Linked DNA regions of Caenorhabditis elegans. The protein of the gene in region 1 interacts with the protein of each later gene in a pairwise test. Each region holds a gene or a part of one and is shown in the gene's direction. Other genes may lie near its edges.

Region 1 (5,782 bases):
CGGAGAATTTACTCTAGGACAGGCACAGCTTTTCATGGCGCGTGAGAGCAAAACGTACATTTGCCGTCTCCATTTCCTGGAGACCCTCGACGAGATCTACCAGATGCTACGTCTGAAATCTGCCGATGATATTCTGATTTGCCCATTGGACTTGATTCAGAACGCATTGATCACTGTTTCCGCCCTCCGTCCACACATTATTGCTTCACAACTTCGAAAGATTCTTCACGATTTTGCCGAAAGAAATAATCATCTTCGTGAAACGCCAGCGGTAAGTTTCCGTTTTTAAAATTGCACATTTTGAAACAAATTAATTGTTTTTAGGAATTGAAGAAACTTGGACAACAATACTTTGACTACCGCGAGCCCGAACCTGAGCCAGAGAGAAACGATGTGGATGAGCAAGAAATCATACCGAAACTCTTTCGCCAGCCACGCAAGCAAGTTCTGGAAGCTGATCAGCATGACGGAACTGTCAAGGTTATAGAGCAGGAAGATTTCAAGCTCCCAACTGTCAAACCGTCTGAAAATGAGGAATGCGACAATCCGGGCGTTTGCTGCTTCTGTTCGAAACGTGGCGACCGAGGTGGAATGCTTCGTGTCCCGAGAAGTGAGGAACGTTTGGCTAGATGGGTGGATAAGCTTGGACCAGAATTTGAAGCCCGACTTCACACCAATACGGAAAACCTAATTTGCCGAAGCCATTTCCCAGATGCAGCGTTCAGCAGTCGTGGTAGACTTTTGAAAGGAATGATTCCAGATGCTGCTCCAGAAAAAGTTGAGACCACGTATATCATTCAAGGGAACAACTTCCTCAAACTCAAAGAGCGCAAGTCTGGAACTGATAAGAATTCAGCCATTGATTTGGCGAATATGTTAAACCCCGACGGTGTTGAATATACTCAGGAAGAAGAAGAAGAAGAGGAATATGAAGAAATGTCAAGATCCCCAACGGAAGAGACTTCAGACGACGAGCCCAGTCAAGCAGCAGTTTACAACAATGCTCCAGTGATAAAACGTACCTATAGAAAGCGGGAGTTGTCAAACGAGGATGGACCTCTTAACTTGGTAACACCACCTGCTCATACTCCGAACCCAAGAGGGCGCCCAAGGAAGTATCCCAAGAATAGTGTAACACCAGAAGCTGAAAAAAGCCTCACCGACTACGACTACAATCCGGGAACATCTCAACGACGTGCACTTAAGAAAGGTTACGTACAACTCGAAGACGGAGAAATTGTCGGCGAAGATTGCGAATACGTGCCTGAAAAAACACCAAGTGGAAGATTGATTCGACAAGCTGTTGCTAGACGAAGCTTTGCTTTTGCTGATGAGGAAGAGGAGGAGGAAGAGTATGAAGAATCTCCAATTGTTAAAAAGCCCAAGATTGCTGGAAGAGTGAGTTTTTGAAAAATATATGCTTTGAATTATTTTTATATTTTTTCAGCCAGTCGGACGACCGCGCAAAGATGCTAATAAGCTGCCAACCCCCACACCACCCAGCAACGAATAAGTGGAAATATTTTCATCCACCGTTCCTGATTGTTGTTTTTATATATAATTTTTTCTCCATTGATGTTTTTGATGATTAAGTCATACGCATAGTTTTACCCTGTTACTTTGATTGCCCTTAAAATTACCACTTTTATTTTACCTATTTATTTTAATCATCATTCATCTGAAACCTCACAATGATGAGATGATCTCATCATTTTTATATTTTGTAGTTTTATATCAGTTTTATAAATGTTCACCGAAATTTGATGCCAACTGGTTTTTTTCTAATTCTTTCCAAATGGTTTCACATCACCAAATGACAATTTTCCTTTACTTTCCTATCTTGCTTATCATACACTATCACTTATTCAGATTCCTAATGTTGGCTCCAGCGGCTCCAGCTAAAGATGTTGTCTCGGCAGATGAAAAAGAAGAAATCATTGCGAAAAGAAAATTTCGAATGAAAAACGTTGATGCTATGCGAATGTCAAGCTTGGCGAACGATCGGATGGCTTTCAACAAGAAATGCAATGCCCTAGCGATGAAGTTTGTTAAAAGTGCCGGCATTGGAACGGATGCTCTGCAGCTCACATGTTTCCAGGAGCTCGTCCGGCATTTCAACCCAATTGCCGCAGTTGTTGTTGGTGTCAAAAGAGAGGTATGGCTTTTTAAGGATTTTCTCCCATTTTCTGATATATCTAGTTAAAGGTGGAGTAGCGCCAGTGGGGAAATTGTTAAAAACTACTCCTTTAGTGCCAAAAGGACCAAATATCAAAATAAAACTTTTCAAACATTTTTTGAAAATTTTTTATTTACTGTCAAAAAGTGACAATCATTCAGTGTTTGCCAATCATAATTTTGGAAGTCGACAAAAAAATGTTCTCCTACATTTAAAATGCAATTTTGTTTTGCCTACTTGTATTAAAACATTGTTGGGGTCGGAACATGCGACATTGCTGTGGATTTCCTCAAAAGCTCATATTTTTCATAGTTTTGGCAATATGCCAAAACTTTGACTGGAAATTATGAAAGATCTAAAAATTTTTGGAGTGTTTTATTATGATATTCGGTCGTTTTGAATCATGATAAGGTTGAATAAGAAGTGTTCTATCTTCAATGTTTCAGCCAAACTCCAATGTACAAGCTGAAAAAAAGACAATTCCAAAAGTCAAGACAATACAAACACCTACCCAGTCAATGGAATCTGTTCGATTGGTAAGCAGAAATGTTTGAAGATTATTCATAATAATGCGTATATGGTTTCAGCTCCAAGAGAAAAAAGCTTCAGCAACTGAAGAACAATCAGCTGAGTCTGCTTCGATCATGAAGCATTTTGCGAATACAATTCCAAACTCAACACCAACGCAAAGCGTGAAGGATGTTCTGACGGCGGCTGCAAGCAAGGGACAATTCAAAAGTAGCGCGGAAATTTTTTCACACTTTCCAAGTGAACCCAGCCCCTCGAAACCCCGTGCCACACGAGAGGGATCTCAACCGAGTGACTACACGTATTGTACCTATCTGACTCCGTGCATACTCTGCGAGAAGGCTCTTTTAATGCGAGAAAGCATTGCAATGACTGATAACGAAGCTGTGAAAGTTTTGATGGCGGCAGTGATGTCTGGCCACTTTAGAATGGCAACTGCAGAGAAAGCGATTCGTCATGAGAGGCTAAGGATGTGCTATGATCATGTTGATTTTGTAGTAAGTTGTTCAGTATTTTTTTCAAAATAGTTAAGTTTGAAAAGCTGTGAAAACTTTTCTAAAGCTGATTAGAACATAAATTCTAATTTAAAAGTTATTAATTTTATTTATAATTTTCATGGCAAAAGTTCAAAATTTTTGGTGTTTTGTTTAGTACAACCTCTATTTTATTTTATATATGTGATCGATATTAATACATTAGACTAGAAAACAAGAATTAAAGGACGATCCGTTCTTCAAGTCCTATGCACTACGGATCTGGGATTCAGGTGGTGCTCCCACTGAGTTATAATTTAAGCCACGTCCTAGCCGGGGACTGTGGCCGATAATCCTATCGTGGACTGCTCTACTTACCAATAGAGGCTGGATGAAAACCTAGGTGGTGAGGTTGGACTTGAACTTGTGACCTCCAGATTGCTAGCGGCCACCACTACCGACTGAGCTATCCTGCCCCCTTTTAGTTTAGAGATTTTAGTTTAAAAAAAACCATACACCACTTTTTCAGTACGAAATGATGTGCGACGCCTTTGAAGCTAAAACGGAAAGCGAGATCAATGAGATGCCACCGGACAGATTGATGCGTGGCCATGATATCTATAGAGCACTGAAGGTTTGATTGTCATATCTCGTTGTTCTACAACGGTGAAATGTTTTAAGAGAGTCGGCGACCTGCACAAAGGGAAGGTTACGTCGAACACTCCGCTTTACTCATTCAAGAATTCCATTAAATCTTATTACCGTAACCACGTGCCAAGGATGGTCAATGGGTCTCTCAGTAAACCGTCTCCCAAACCGTTCTCAGAGCTGGTTGCGCTTTTGCAATCGGTGAGTCTTGTGACACTTGTGAAAATTTTAAAAAAATTTAAAAAATTATTCGTTTAAGGTGCCTCCATCGACGAATCTAAATGAGTTGCTGAATCATAATCTTAGCCTCAGTGATGCTGATAAGCAAGAACTCATTCAACTCATCAATGGGAAAGATAATCGTTTCACATCTCGGAGACGGAAAATCGAGGATATTCTTGACAACAAGTTTGCTGCTGCAGCTGCAAAAGCTTATCGAGATCACAGTGAAGATGCACCTAGTGAACCGTATATTCCCAATCAAAGTGAGATGCAGAACACTGTAGAACGCAGAAAGCGAAAGCTTCATTCGCCTGAACAGGATGATGCTGGATCATCGAGTATCTCATGGAACGCAAAAAAAACGAAAACTCCAATTGACTATGTTCACCTAGCAACGCGTGTTTTGGAAGGTCATTCAATTGCCGACGAGGCGCTTTTGCACAAATCCAAAGTTTCTTATGCTCGTAATGCATTTGGTGAGAAGCCAAGCTCCCCCACTCCGCCATCTGCGCCACTAAAGTTCTGTGTTGTCAATGGAAAGAAATACTTGCGTTTTGAAAACGGAACCGGACCTCCGAAAGTTGTAGTTCAAGGGAATGTCGTTCTTCGCACTAATACTCTTAAAGACGCATTGACTACAGCGCCACGTGCACAAAACCAGCCTTCTACGTCCACAGACTCATCAAGCTCATCCGAGATGGAGGGAATACGTCAATCATTTGGGGCGCCTCAAAAGGAAGAAGAAGAAGAAGAATTAGTACCTACGCTTCTTCAAAACAAACCTACCCACGTGGAATCTTCGAGCCCCGTTGAAAAAAAACCACCAACCAAAACGAACGTAGAGAAACCAGCGGTCCGTCTAGGAAGAATGTTAACGACTGCATTTGGTTCAATGAGTTACCGAACAAGAAAATCGGTAGAGAATAAAACGGATCTCTTAAATCAGCCAACATCTGCCTCACCAAGACGCATGATTAAAGTTGTGAGAAACCGAAATCCTCACCTTGCGAAACAAGTGGCCGCCGCACCGAGTGAGCCAAAACATATTCCGCCAACGCACATGGAAAAGAAGCCGGAAGAGTTGCTCATGGATCCAAAGCCTGAGCCAATTTTTTAAACGTTCTTGATAACTTTGATTATTATCTTTTTAGTTCAATTTCATGTTTTTTTTAAACTGTTTTTTTCTCATCACAATCGATCTTATAAATATGTTACTTGTTATCAAAACTATTTCAAGAATTTCGAGTTTAGCGCATTTCGTGAGGAGGAAGTCTGAAATTAAAAGTTTTTGCAATGAATTTTTGTTCGGTCACACGGAATTTTTCAGGTTAGAAAAGTGTTTTGTGCGTGTTGGTTTTGTTGACGTCTTTTCAGAAAAAAAATTTAATGGTGTTTATTGATTGAAACCCGTATCCAAAAGATAAAACAACATACCGCAATTCCAAAAAAGAGCAAATTATGTTTGCCGGAAATGTTTAATTCCGGCCATTTGTCGATTTGCCGGAAATTTTCAATTCCGACAATTTGCCGATTTTCTGGAAGTTTTTAATTTTGGAAAGATGCCGATTTGCCGGAAATTTTCACTCCCGGCGATTTGCCGATTTGCTGGAAATTTTCGATTCCGGCCAATTGCCGGAAATTTCAGTTCCTGCGATTTGTCGGTTTTCCCGAAATTTTTAATTCCGGCAATCTGCCGATTTGCCAAAACTTTTCAATTTCGGCAATTTGCCATTTT
Region 2 (7,726 bases), on another chromosome or scaffold:
TTTCTATCTTGAGAGAAAACTTACAGCATTATTAGCATATATTCTCGAAGTTATGTTAAAAATAATTTTAACAAGCGGCAGCACTGCTAGAAATCTTGTGGAAATCGTATGCAAGGTTTAACCAAAATCTGGCCTTACTAAAGTCTAACAAAAACTATTCAAAGGTATGTCCACTCTTTGTAAAAGTTAAATATAAATGGTCTACCGTTTTCTATTACATTTTATAAGTTTTTGTCACGTTTTGGAATGGAAATGTGCGACAATCGATATTTCCTCAGAAAGTTGTTAGCGGGGTAAAACCATCCTAGTTTTTGCAATCAATAAACATCAACTTACAATGTTCAAGATTTTTTCTTTATAATCAAATCTGAAATTAAGTTCAAACGAATGTCAGTACATTTCACCATCCCCTGCTTCTGCAACCAACTAATTATCTCGGTCATCACGATTTGTCAGCTGACACTGCTCAACAAGAGTATTTTGTTGTCTGGTTGATCAGTCGTAATGGAAGTAAAATTCTGAAAATTTAGAAAAGATTTTGAAATTTCACAACACTTATTTAAAAATGACATGAGTCACAAGAAGTAACGGGATTTGGAGTGAAAACGTTGATTTTTTGACGTCATGACACAATTTCAGTTTGAAAATCAGTTTATCAAGCCTATTTTTCATTAATGAAAAAACATTCGGAAGAGCCGATATATTGGAAATTGAATACCAAGTTATTATAGAAGTAATAAAAACTTGATTTCATCACAATTTGTTGTGATACGCTCCCCCACCCCCTCACACACGCACACACACACACATTCTCCGGGATACACTCAATTATTACACACTTCGCACTTATTTCTTCAGAATATGAGATCCAAGAACTTTTTAAAACATTGATCAGATCATATATGACAAGGCTATCAATTAAGGAAGTGTATTAATAGATATGGACAAGAAGAGAGCATAACTATCTGTAATTAAGGAATTTCAAATAGTTGACAACCGAGTTTTGGAATTCTTCAATATTTCGACTGTATAGACGTATTACCATTAATAGAAGACTTTTATAAATTTATGAAAATGGATCATCTAAAAGGTAACAGTATAGTTCTGAGAAACTTTAATGAAAATTGGAGACAACCCAGGCTTGAAGAGCCTGAATAAAGTAAGAGTTGATTACTGATAGGTGGAATGGCATTCGATTAATGGCAGTTCAGTCTCGCTTTTTCTGGTTTTGTGTTTCTTTTTTCTTAAGTGGTCTTCGTTTTACTATCCGTTCGTCAAAGTTCACACCTGCCCTTTCGGACATTCAAAAGGCACACACAAACACGAGTTGAAGTTTTTGGTGGATCCCGATGTTTTTTGTCTGTGCTCATCCCTTTTTGCTGAATTTCTTCCGTGTCGCCTCAACCCGAACCAAACCAATATCATTCGAATGTTTAAAACCTCCTGGCCCGCGGGTGCCTGATGCATCGTCTGCGCTTCGGCTCTCGGCGCGCTCTTCTCGAGATCGTATCCCGCCAACTCGTTGGCAAAAACACAATGGCATTTATCAGATACGCAGCGTAGAGTGGGAGGGTGGCTCAGTGCTAGGCAAGAAGGATTACACTGAGGCTCCTCTCTCGCTCCCTGCCGGGCACACTACCTTCGTAGAAGTTGATGATGAGAGATACTTGGAGACAGAGAGACGATCGACGACGCAACGGCGCGGGATGAGATATGTGTGTATGTGTCTTCCCGACGGCAGAGCCCCAACGCACAATCAGTCAGTCTCGAAGCAGCCAGCCAGCCAGCAGCACACACAGGGGCACCATCCATTTGAATACTCCATTTGATCATGTCATTGTATCGTTCGCCATCCGCTGCTCTTCTTAAGAGCCCGTCGCAAGCAGCGTTCGGTGCTCCATTTGGCAGCATGTCCGTCGCCGATCTTGGATCACTCACCAGACTCGAGGTAAATTTTTGAATGTTTTCTACCATTTCTGAACATTTCACTGCCAAAACCCCAAAACCCGTGTTCCATTTTTCATCGAATCGATGTTTCATTGACTGATATTTTGAATTATATCTGTAATTTAAATTTTAGTAAAAAAGGCATCTAATATAGCAACGAAGAATTGAAAAACTTGAAAAATCTCAAATTGTAGTTTTACAGTACTCCTCAGTCTCAAGAAAAATGTTTGTTTTGTCCCTAAATTGAATGATTGACAAATAACGGCGTTTTCAGTTTTGTAAATATTATTTTTCTGCATCAAAATGTATGGAATAAAACAATATTCCGAGCCAAAACACTATTTTCAGAAAAATTTTTAAACTTCCTAGTTTTCTCTATAATTAAACCTTTAGATTCCTTATTCTAAATCTTCATTTTGAAAAATCTGTTCATCATTCATCTCGGCAACTAGTTTCTTTGTGTAACTAAGATTTGCAACCTTTGTTTAACTTACTGCTTGCTTACATATATTTCCAAGAAAAAGTAGAACCCTAATTCTCAGATTTTCAAATATAGCACTTATAAAAAACAAAAATTACGCTTTTTTTCTTTGAAAAAACAATTATTTTTTGACCCCATATTTTCTCATGGTTCTAGCTACTGAATTTGCGATTATTGCCAATTGCCTGCAAAAACATTTTGTCAATTAAAATAAAAACAATTACCAAATCATTCGCTGGTCTATTTCCAAAAAATGCACTCTACGTCTCTCATATCTATAAGCTATTTTCACGTTTCTCTTATAATCTCCCACACTGTGTTGTAAAATTTCGAAGAAACCTAATGCATTATTTGTTAAGCTTAGATATCAATTCAAAAAAAAAACTAAATGGTAATATCGAATTGTATGCTACGAGTGTATTCTTGTCGTTTGATCTCAAGAAATTCCGGGACATTTAAATTTGTGACGTCAGGATGTTTATCTTCACAGTACTTTAAAAATATTCCCCACTCGGCACTAAATTTATAGGTCCGTGTAATAAGGTTCATCAAGAAGTTCAATCAGAATCGGAATCCATACTTTTTTTATCTGAATCAGTTCTTGAAACAATTAATTCTTCAAAGATTTTACAAATTAATACAGTTTCACTTTTCAGGACAAGATCCGTCTTCTCCAAGAGGATTTGGAATCAGAGCGCGAACTCCGCAACAGAGTGAGTTTTTACCTTTTATCTCTGATACCATGATTGCCATTTTCAGGTTGAACGTGAGCGTGCCGATCTCTCCGTTCAAGTTATTGCTTTGACTGACAGACTCGAGGATGCCGAGGGAACCACCGACAGCCAAGTGAGTTTCCAGTTTTTATGAATTTCAATTTAAAGAAACATCTTATACCTTTAAACATTATAATTACAGATCGAATCGAACCGCAAACGTGAGGGAGAACTCTCAAAGCTTCGCAAGCTCCTCGAGGAGTCTCAACTTGAATCCGAAGATGCCATGAATGTTCTCCGCAAAAAGCACCAGGTACAGTAATCTTTATGCTATAGCTTAAAGAATTCGTGAAATTTTAGGATTCCTGCCTCGACTACCAAGATCAGATCGAGCAACTCCAAAAGAAAAATGCCAAGTAAGTTATTATCTTTATTTTCTAAGTTTTTTTTCGTATTAGTACTTGTGCCTTCATTTTCTTCTTCTTCTTCTTCTATCTTCCCGCGTTGAAATGGCAGCGGAGGAGTTGGCGGCTCGGCAGAAGCTCTGAAGAAGAAGTATAAGAAGATGAAGAAGCATCAGCTCAAAGTGTGTAAAATAACAAACGTTTCTCGTGTGTGTGTGTTTGTTTCGCCTTCCAGGAAGAGATGAGAGAGATACAAGAATGTCTGCGTCTTACTGATCTTCTCAATATCTCTCACATTTCTCTCATTGATCTTGATGCTTGGCGAGCAATCTGCGTTCCCGTGAAACAGTGGTGGTGGTAAAAAATAATGAGATTAAGTTGGGATGAGAAGTTGAGATGAACGGGAAGGGGACAGCTTGAGAACTTGAATGACGAATGCATGAACATATTATAGAATATTTAAAAATGTAGTAAGGATCAAACATTATTTGTTTCATAACAAGGGGTTGCTAGCCTAGTCTTGCACCTCCTATCCTCTAGTTTTACAGCTCATATCTCGGTTATTTTTCATTTATGAACACATTTCAACAACAAAAATGCGTGAGAAATCCTGTATATTAATAGGAAAAATACTGTATTTTTCCCATTTAAATTACGATGGATTCATTTTATGATGTCTCTTTTTTTTGCTCAAATAACTTTCAATGAAATCAAGGAAAATCTTCCGTAATTTAAAACACATTTCTAGAATCTATGTTAATCTTTTAAACAATGTACATAGATGATCTATTCAGTTGTAAAATAAGTTTTAGTTGTTCCCTTCTTGCGTTCAAAAATCTTCGAGTTCAACTTTCCCATGAAAATAATTGTGTGCAACTCTTGACGTAATGTTTTTAAATCCAAAATTAGTTTATACTTTTCCACCCACTATCAATAGTTTCACCTGTCCAAACCGGCTGCTTTCTGACATCATTCATAGCCAAACATATTGTTGACACATCAAGAATTACTTGTTCGCCGCTGCTTGACTTTTTGTTAAATTCCAAATATCCTCCCATCCCACGCAATATCATCATCATTCAGGATCGACCGCGAACGCCAACGCGTCCAACACGAAGTCATCGAGTTGACCGCCACTATCGACCAGCTCCAGAAGGACAAACACACCGCTGAGAAGGCCGCTGAGCGCTTCGAAGCCCAAGCCAACGAACTTGCCAACAAGGTCGAGGACTTGAACAAGCACGTCAATGACCTCGCCCAACAACGTCAACGCCTTCAAGCTGAGAACAATGATCTTCTCAAGGTTTGTTTTTTGAAGTATCATGTGTATAATCTCTAGTTTTATCATCTTTATCACGTGCCACCGATCACTCTGCTCATCTTTCTACTTTTTTTTAGCAAAAAAATGCGGTAAAAAGAAAAAAAGAAACCCCTTTTAACAGGGGGTTTCTTTACTAAATTCTCTATTTTATCGCTACTATTTCCGCAGAGTGTGTGTGCAAATAGAGTACTCGAGATATTAGAAAGGAGGATGCTCTGTGAGCCTCATCGTTTTTTTGTCTCGTTCAGTGTGTTCTGTTAGCAGATCAGGGATCGTTAATGTTTTTCAGGAGGTTCACGACCAGAAGGTTCAACTCGATAACCTTCAACACGTCAAGTACACCCTCGCTCAACAGCTCGAGGAGGCCAGACGTCGTCTTGAGGATGCCGAGCGCGTAAGTCTACTAGTCCAAAGTGCCAAATTCAGAGGCGGAAATATCGGGTTTCTTCCTCTGACGCATTTCTGGACATTAAAAAAGCATAAACGTGCGAAGATCAAAGAACGTTGAAATTTCAGGAGCGCTCCCAACTTCAATCTCAACTCCACCAGGTTCAGCTCGAGCTCGACTCGGTCCGCACCGCTCTCGATGAGGAGTCGATTGCCCGTTCCGATGCTGAGCACAAGCTCAACCTTGCCAACACTGAGATCACCCAGTGGAAGAGCAAGTTCGATGCTGAGGTCGCCCTTCACCACGAAGAAGTTGAGGATCTCCGCAAGAAGATGCTCCAGAAGCAAGCTGAGTATGAAGAGCAAATCGAGATCATGCTCCAGAAGATTTCTCAACTCGAGAAGGCCAAGTCTCGTCTTCAATCTGAGGTCGAGGTTCTTATCGTTGATCTTGAGAAGGCCCAGAACACCATTGCTCTCTTGGAGCGTGCCAGAGAACAACTCGAGAGACAAGTTGGAGAACTCAAGGTCCGTATCGATGAGATCACTGTTGAACTCGAAGCTGCTCAACGCGAACTCCGTGCCGTCAATGCTGAGCTCCAGAAGATGAAGCATTTGTACGAGAAGGCTGTCGAACAGAAGGAGGCTCTTGCTCGCGAGAACAAGAAGCTCCACGACGAACTTCACGAAGCCAAGGAGGCTCTTGCCGACGCCAACCGCAAGCTCCACGAGCTCGACCTCGAGAACGCCCGTCTTGCCGGAGAAATCCGTGAGCTCCAGACTGCCCTCAAGGAGGCTGATGCTCAACGCCGTGACGCCGAAAACCGCGCTCAACGTGCCCTTGCTGAGCTCCAGGCTCTTCGCATCGAAATGGAACGTCGTCTCCAAGAGAAGGAAGAAGAGATGGAGGCTCTTCGCAAGAACCTTCAATTCGAAATCGACAGACTTATTGCCGCTTTGGCTGATGCCGAGGCCCGCATGAAGTCCGAGATCTCTAGACTGAAGAAGAAGTACCAGGCTGAGATCGCTGAGCTCGAGATGACTGTTGATAACCTTAACAGGTAAATACTAATTTTTTCAACATTCAACCCTTAAATTCATAAATTACAGAGCTAACATCGAAGCCCAGAAGACCATCAAAAAGCAATCGGAGCAACTCAAGATTCTCCAAGCCTCATTGGAGGATACTCAACGTCAGTTGCAACAAGTTTTGGACCAATATGCCCTCGCTCAACGCAAGGTGAGTTATCATTTTTGTGGTCTCTTAATTCATTTTTATATATGTTTAGGTCGCCGCTCTCTCTGCTGAACTCGAGGAATGCAAGACCGCTCTCGACAACGCTATCCGCGCCCGTAAGCAAGCCGAGGTTGACCTCGAGGAAGCCAATGGACGTATCTCCGACCTTATCTCCATCAACAACAACCTCACCTCCATCAAGAACAAACTCGAGACTGAGCTCTCCACCGCTCAAGCTGATTTGGATGAGGTCACCAAGGAACTCCACGCCGCTGATGAGCGCGCCAACCGTGCTCTTGCTGATGCTGCCCGTGCCGTTGAACAACTTCATGAGGAACAAGAACACTCGATGAAAATCGATGCCTTGAGAAAGTCTCTTGAGGAGCAAGTCAAGCAACTCCAAGTTCAAATTCAAGAAGCTGAGGCTGCCGCTCTTCTCGGAGGAAAGAGAGTCATCGCCAAGTTGGAGACCAGAATCCGTGATCTTGAGACCGCTCTTGATGAGGAAACCAGAAGACACAAGGAGACCCAGAATGCCTTGAGAAAGAAGGATCGCCGCATCAAGGAGGTTCAACAACTCGTTGATGAAGAGCACAAGAACTTCGTTATGGCTCAAGACACCGCTGATCGTCTTACCGAGAAGCTCAACATCCAGAAGAGACAACTTGCTGAGTCCGAGTCCGTAACAATGCAAAACCTCCAGAGAGTCCGCAGATACCAACACGAGCTCGAGGATGCTGAGGGCCGTGCCGATCAAGCCGAGTCCAGCCTTCACCTCATCCGTGCCAAGCATCGTTCATCTGTTGTCACCGGAAAGTCATCCTCCAAGGTATTTTAATTTTCTTTTTTTGTTGAAAATACTTTGATTTGTCAATACTTTAGATTTTATGTTAAACGCTCATAGTTAGAATAGACAAATACTTTAATCAAAAATGGTTCTAATTTCAATAAGAAAATTTCAAGAATTGTTTTTGTCTGTGTCGGAAAACAGAAATCCTGAGCAACTACTACTTATCATTTTATCTTTAAAAAAATTTGTTCCCAACACCTTAATTATTTTACGTCACTTGTTTTTCACATTTTTCGTTTGTTTTTTCTTGCAGATTTTCGTCACGGAAGACGATTATTAAACATCCCAAAAAGCGTCGCCATACATCAAATCATCAAATAAATTGCTAATAAGATGTGTATAATTGTTTTATTTTTCTTCTCTATTTCTTTCATGTTCTTCTTCTC
Region 3 (5,162 bases), 4.5 Mb from region 1:
GTGCGTCGACTTTTTTGTACTGCAACCATCGCAGTGTCCCCGACTTTCACACGATCTCTCGCTCATTTTAGACCGGTTGACAGTAGATGATCCTCAGTAATTATGAAGTTTCACCTGCCACGGGGCCGCCGTTTTCTATGCATTTGCTACTGCCTCATCTCTTTGCCGCTGCCATTTATTTTTGTTTACTGTACACATCATTCTGTTCCATTTTAACCCCTCTCCCTTTTACTATGTACTTTTCGAAAATTGTTCAATAGCCGAGAGCCCTGGATGTTTGAGCCGAGATATCTTTTTTATGTACACCGCCATGCTGGAACGCAGAGAAAACTGTTTATCTTCCCATTTTTCCAGAAACTCGTTCAAACGGATACTTCTCTCAGTGAGAAGCGGTACCTAACCAATCAACATTTCAAAAATGATGGAGATTACCAGAGAAAGTGAGTTTCTTCATTTTAACTACTTAAATTATTCCGATGACTTTCCAGGAGGTGAGTTGCGGAATGTTTGCCTTTGTATTTCGCGGTAAGGTGCTTACCATAGACTAACAAATCTAACTGATCAGCGATTGAAAATTCAAAACTTTGAAAAAATAACATTACAGGCATGCGTTTTTTAAAGAAAAAAGATTAATGAAACAGTGAGATAAGACGGAGTGCAAGATGAACAAGCACATCGGTAAATAAGAGGCTCGTTTCTTGTGCCTTGTCGCAATTTTTTATTGAGATATCTTTCCGATTGTCATTGAAGCATCACATTTATCCGCATAGGCTTATCTTATACTAGTGAATATTTTTGCAACTAGATCCTACTACTTTTTTATATAAAAATGTACACTACTACTCGTCCGGGTAAGTAACTGGCTGAAAATTGCATTCACTTCGGCAAAATAAATTATCTAACAGGAGTTTATTTACAAAAACTTGGTAGATCATTTCTGAATGTATATATAGTTTAAAAAACATCACTTTTTTTTAGACCTGAGCAATTTAAATACTCTTGCTAATATAAAACACCGTGTTTGCTGAAAAAATACAGTGTTTTACATAGTTAAAGCTCAATCCGTTGCTTGAATTTCATTTAAACGAATCCATATTCAATCTTGAAAGTGACAGAAGTAGAATAGGAGTGTTCCCAGATTTAATCGCTTTTGTGAAAACCAGACAACTAACACATATTCTCGCAACTTATATATGTAGGTGTTTCTAAACTTTTTCAAACATATTTGCACCGTTATTCCATTTGAACTAGTCATCAATCAATAAACTACTCGTGAGTACTCAAAGTTAATTCAAGGCTAATTTTCTTCTCACTTCAAATTTTTGAACAATTTTGTACAAACATATATTCCGAGGCGTTGTCTAGTTTTTGTCTCCTCTTCCACAAAAGTGCGTAGGCACGGTAGCAAATTGAAATGAATCACCTCAACCCAAAAAAATCTCAAATGTCATTTCGCACTTTAGCAAAGCCTCGAAACGTATGAATTTATGCAAAAACGCATGTCCAATAGGCGAAAAAAGTAGAATCGAGAGGAATCGTAACGACGTAAGGGTTGACTGAGTTGAGGATGAGATGATTTTTGGAGGACGCGCCCATCCCTCACACCTATTCTTTTTTCCGCATTCGCGCCAGATATCAAGAAGCCGCCGTTCCGTCCTCACTTCACACCCATTTTAAAGTGATTCTTGACGCCTCCCTTTGCAAAAAAATTCCAAACACCGACTTGAATCAATATAAATATACATAGGCAAACAACTATGATCTCATTTCCTTTCGTGGAAAAGGGCAATAATAATATTTGATTGAGTTTTCTATTTCTCCTCATAGATTTTCATAGGTTACTCATAGGTTTTTTTCTCTTTATACAACAGTCTAGAATACTGAAATATATTAATTTTGCATTGCCTGTTTTGTTCTGCCGCCATGTATAAAAAGAGTTGAGGAACAAAAAATTTCATTTTCTGACTATGGAAGGTTATATTGTTTCTCTTCCATCTTCGCGACGATCAAGCGCTTCTAGCGCTCGAAGCGAGCAAAGTTCCACACGAACTGTCAATTACGAAGTGATTGAAAAGAGTAAGCCTTTCTTGTGCCCTCAATTTCAACTAACTCAAAAAATTGCAATTTTCGTTTAATCCCTTTTGTCTACATGCTATTATCATTAGTGTGGGAGGAAGCTGCGGTTGGTAGCAATGAAGGAGGAGGAGTAGAAAATGTTGAATAAAAAGTGAGGAGCAGTGCAAGAAATTTGACGCCCACCTAGTTTGCGCACCGTTGAGACTCCGCTTTTGTCTCTACAGTCAGCCTCCGACTAATTCCTTGGTCACACATTACGGCAGTCAGGGGTTGCCATACAACTCACAACCTCATTTTGAAATTTCGAAGCTGCCGAGTACAGTCGGCCCTTTTCACTTTCACAATAGAAATTTACGATTTGCAGCGATGTCTTTCACTTCCACAACACCTTCAGCTAGAGCTCCGCTCGGAGGGCGTACAACCGGAAACGTTACTTGTAAGTTTATTGTTGTCTGTGCAAAACATTTAAATCAACATATTCCAGCCCAAGATCGTATGCTCAAAATTGTGACCGAGATGCGCTCAGGTGCTGGATCCGGCTTGTCGCCATTTGGACAAAATGCTGCATCAACCATCCGTGACTCTCGTGAACGTGAGAAGAAAGAAATGAGCGATTTGAACGATCGACTTGCTAGCTACATCGAAAAGGTGTGTAATAGGAATAAGATGGACCACACCCAATAGTTGTTTTTTAGGTCCGTTTCCTAGAAGCCCAGAATAGAAAATTGGCAGCCGATCTTGACGCACTTCGTTCCAAATGGGGAAAAGACACGCACAACATTCGTAATATGTATGAGGGAGAACTTGTGGTAGGAAAATACAGAAAGGAAACTTTTGGTTAGAAAACTATATTATAGGATGCTCAAAAGCTGATTGATGAAACCAATAAGCAACGCAAGGATATGGAAGGTCAACTCAAGAAGATGCAAGATGAACTCGCTGAGATGCGCAGAAAGTACGAACATATGTTTTGAAAATTATGAACAGCATATTACCGTTATTATACTTTTTCTACAAAATGTATTTTTCAGATTGGAAGATGCCACCAAGGGCCGTGAACAGGATCGCGCTAAGATCGACGCACTTCTAGTAACCCTTTCTAATCTTGAAGCTGAAATTAGCCTTCTGAAACGTCGTATTGCTCAGCTTGAGGATGAGGTGAAGCGGATCAAGCAAGAGAATCAGCGTTTGCTTTCTGAGCTTCAAAGAGCCCGTACCGACTTGGATCAAGAAACCCTCAATCGTATTGACTACCAAAACCAAGTTCAAACTCTTCTTGAGGAGATTGATTTCTTGCGTCGTGTCCATGACAATGAGATCAAGGAGCTTCAAACTTTGGCTTCTCGTGATACTACTCCAGAAAACCGCGAGTTCTTCAAGAACGAACTCTCCTCGGCTATTCGTGACATCCGTGAGGAATATGACCAAGTCAACAACGTTCACCGTAATGACATGGAATCCTGGTATCGTCTTAAGGTCCAAGAGATCCAAACGCAGTCTGCCAGACAGAACATGGAACAAGGGTATGCCAAAGAAGAAGTCAAAAGACTCCGCACCCAACTCAGCGATTTGCGTGGAAAGCTCGCTGATCTTGAAAGCCGCAACTCTCTCCTCGAGAAACAAATTCAAGAGCTCAACTACCAATTGGAAGATGATCAGAGATCTTATGAAGCAGCCCTCAACGACAGAGATTCCCAAATCCGCAAAATGCGTGAGGAATGCCAAGCCCTTATGGTCGAATTGCAAATGCTCCTGGATACCAAACAAACTTTGGATGCCGAAATCGCCATCTACAGAAAGATGCTCGAAGGAGAAGAGAACCGTGCTGGACTCAAGCAACTTGTCGAACAGGTTGTCAAGACCCATGCTATCACACAGGAAACCGATACCGGTAGCAGAAAGACAATTTTTTCCATTAAAACATACATCCTTTTTCAGAGACGATGAGAGTCGTCAAGGGCGAAACTGCATCCCGTCAATCGTTCCAGCGTTCTGCAAAGGGAAATGTTTCTATCCACGAGGCATCGCCGGATGGAAAGTTCATCGTCCTCCAGAACACACATCGTGCCAAGGACGAGGTAGGAACTTGAATCACAACAGTTTCAAATATTTTTTGTTCTCTTTCAGGCTATCGGTGAGTGGAAGTTGAAGAGACGTATCGACGGAAAACGTGAGAATGTCTACACGCTTCCAAGAGACTTTGTCCTTCGTGCCGGAAAGACCCTCAAAATCTTCGCCCGTAACCAAGGAGTTGCCTCACCACCAGATCAATTGGTCTATGATGCTGAAGACTCGTTCGGAAGCGGAAACAACGTCCAAACCATCCTCTTCAACAAAGAAGGAGAGGTGAGATCAACAATTAAATGTCATTATATTTACAACATTGATATTAATTTCAGGAACGTGCTACCCACATCCAACGCCAGAGCACTGCCTAATCAGGCGACTTCCCAACAATTAACTAGATATTGTGACAATTTCTTGTTGAAAATCCCAAAATCTTCTTCCCATTTTGTAACTTTCATGCTGATTTCTGCGCATTTATTTGACCTTATTTCAATAAATCATTTATCATTCAAACATCAAAAAAAAATTTGATCACAATGTATTTGCGTAGGTTATTTTCATAGAACAGATGATGTAAAATTCTCAAAATCGTCGGAATTCGCCCACCTGAAATGGAAGCGTATGTTTTTGGTTACTAATCAATAGAGCTGAACGAAATGCCGTAAATAATTGTATATCGGCGAGATGAGCCGACGTCGACATCTAAAACTCGCGTTACTGAGAAGTTTAAAGTGTTGTCCTTCTTAAAATTCCAGTTGCACGAATATAATGTTTTAAATTTTTAAATATAATTTTGAAGTAGGAGCGTATGCCAAACAAGGGAAAATATTTTGAAACTATGGTCACTGCGCTTGATTCGAGAAAATGAAGCTACTACAAAACTGTCTAGGGTTTTAACAAAATATTTTTCCGCTGGAATTGTTACCAAATACTTTTTCAGCGTTCCATCTAAAAGCACATCTATTGCATTTTTAAATGAGCTTTAAATTTGCACTGAGCACTACAGTTTGCTATATTAT

What was found. Proteins that work in one complex are often made in the same cells at the same time.
Region 2: the proteins of lin-15A (region 1) and unc-15 interact in a two-hybrid assay, tested with the Caenorhabditis elegans proteins (2 studies listed by BioGRID).
Region 3: the proteins of lin-15A (region 1) and ifa-1 interact in a two-hybrid assay, tested with the Caenorhabditis elegans proteins (2 studies listed by BioGRID).

The regions. Positions count from the first base shown.
Region 1 is NC_003284.9:15,730,099-15,735,880, forward strand, and holds lin-15A (Protein lin-15A), read left to right. Parts: upstream 1-1,869; 5' UTR 1,870-1,876; coding exon 1,877-2,155; intron 2,156-2,622; coding exon 2,623-2,712; intron 2,713-2,763; coding exon 2,764-3,201; intron 3,202-3,706; coding exon 3,707-3,811; intron 3,812-3,858; coding exon 3,859-4,026; intron 4,027-4,084; coding exon 4,085-5,164; 3' UTR 5,165-5,267; downstream 5,268-5,782. Other genes in the region: Protein lin-15B, read left to right, coding at 1-271, 325-1,398, 1,448-1,513. UniProt on the Caenorhabditis elegans protein: Synthetic multivulva (synMuv) class A protein. SynMuv proteins are required to repress the induction of vulval development.
Region 2 is NC_003279.8:7,377,189-7,384,914, reverse strand, and holds the start of unc-15 (Paramyosin), read left to right. Parts: upstream 1-1,717; 5' UTR 1,718-1,831; coding exon 1,832-1,948; intron 1,949-3,084; coding exon 3,085-3,141; intron 3,142-3,187; coding exon 3,188-3,274; intron 3,275-3,343; coding exon 3,344-3,454; intron 3,455-3,501; coding exon 3,502-3,557; intron 3,558-4,628; coding exon 4,629-4,848; intron 4,849-5,155; coding exon 5,156-5,260; intron 5,261-5,382; coding exon 5,383-6,314; intron 6,315-6,363; coding exon 6,364-6,493; intron 6,494-6,542; coding exon 6,543-7,319; intron 7,320-7,593; coding exon 7,594-7,620; 3' UTR 7,621-7,726. UniProt on the Caenorhabditis elegans protein: Structural component of the muscle thick filaments which is involved in assembly and organization of sarcomere myofilaments. Involved in ovulation.
Region 3 is NC_003284.9:11,270,830-11,275,991, forward strand, and holds ifa-1 (Intermediate filament protein A), read left to right. Parts: upstream 1-1,967; coding exon 1,968-2,076; intron 2,077-2,440; coding exon 2,441-2,512; intron 2,513-2,560; coding exon 2,561-2,724; intron 2,725-2,771; coding exon 2,772-2,885; intron 2,886-2,933; coding exon 2,934-3,031; intron 3,032-3,107; coding exon 3,108-3,967; intron 3,968-4,014; coding exon 4,015-4,154; intron 4,155-4,203; coding exon 4,204-4,422; intron 4,423-4,475; coding exon 4,476-4,514; 3' UTR 4,515-4,653; downstream 4,654-5,162. UniProt on the Caenorhabditis elegans protein: Cytoplasmic intermediate filaments make up the structural component of the cytoskeleton providing mechanical strength to cells.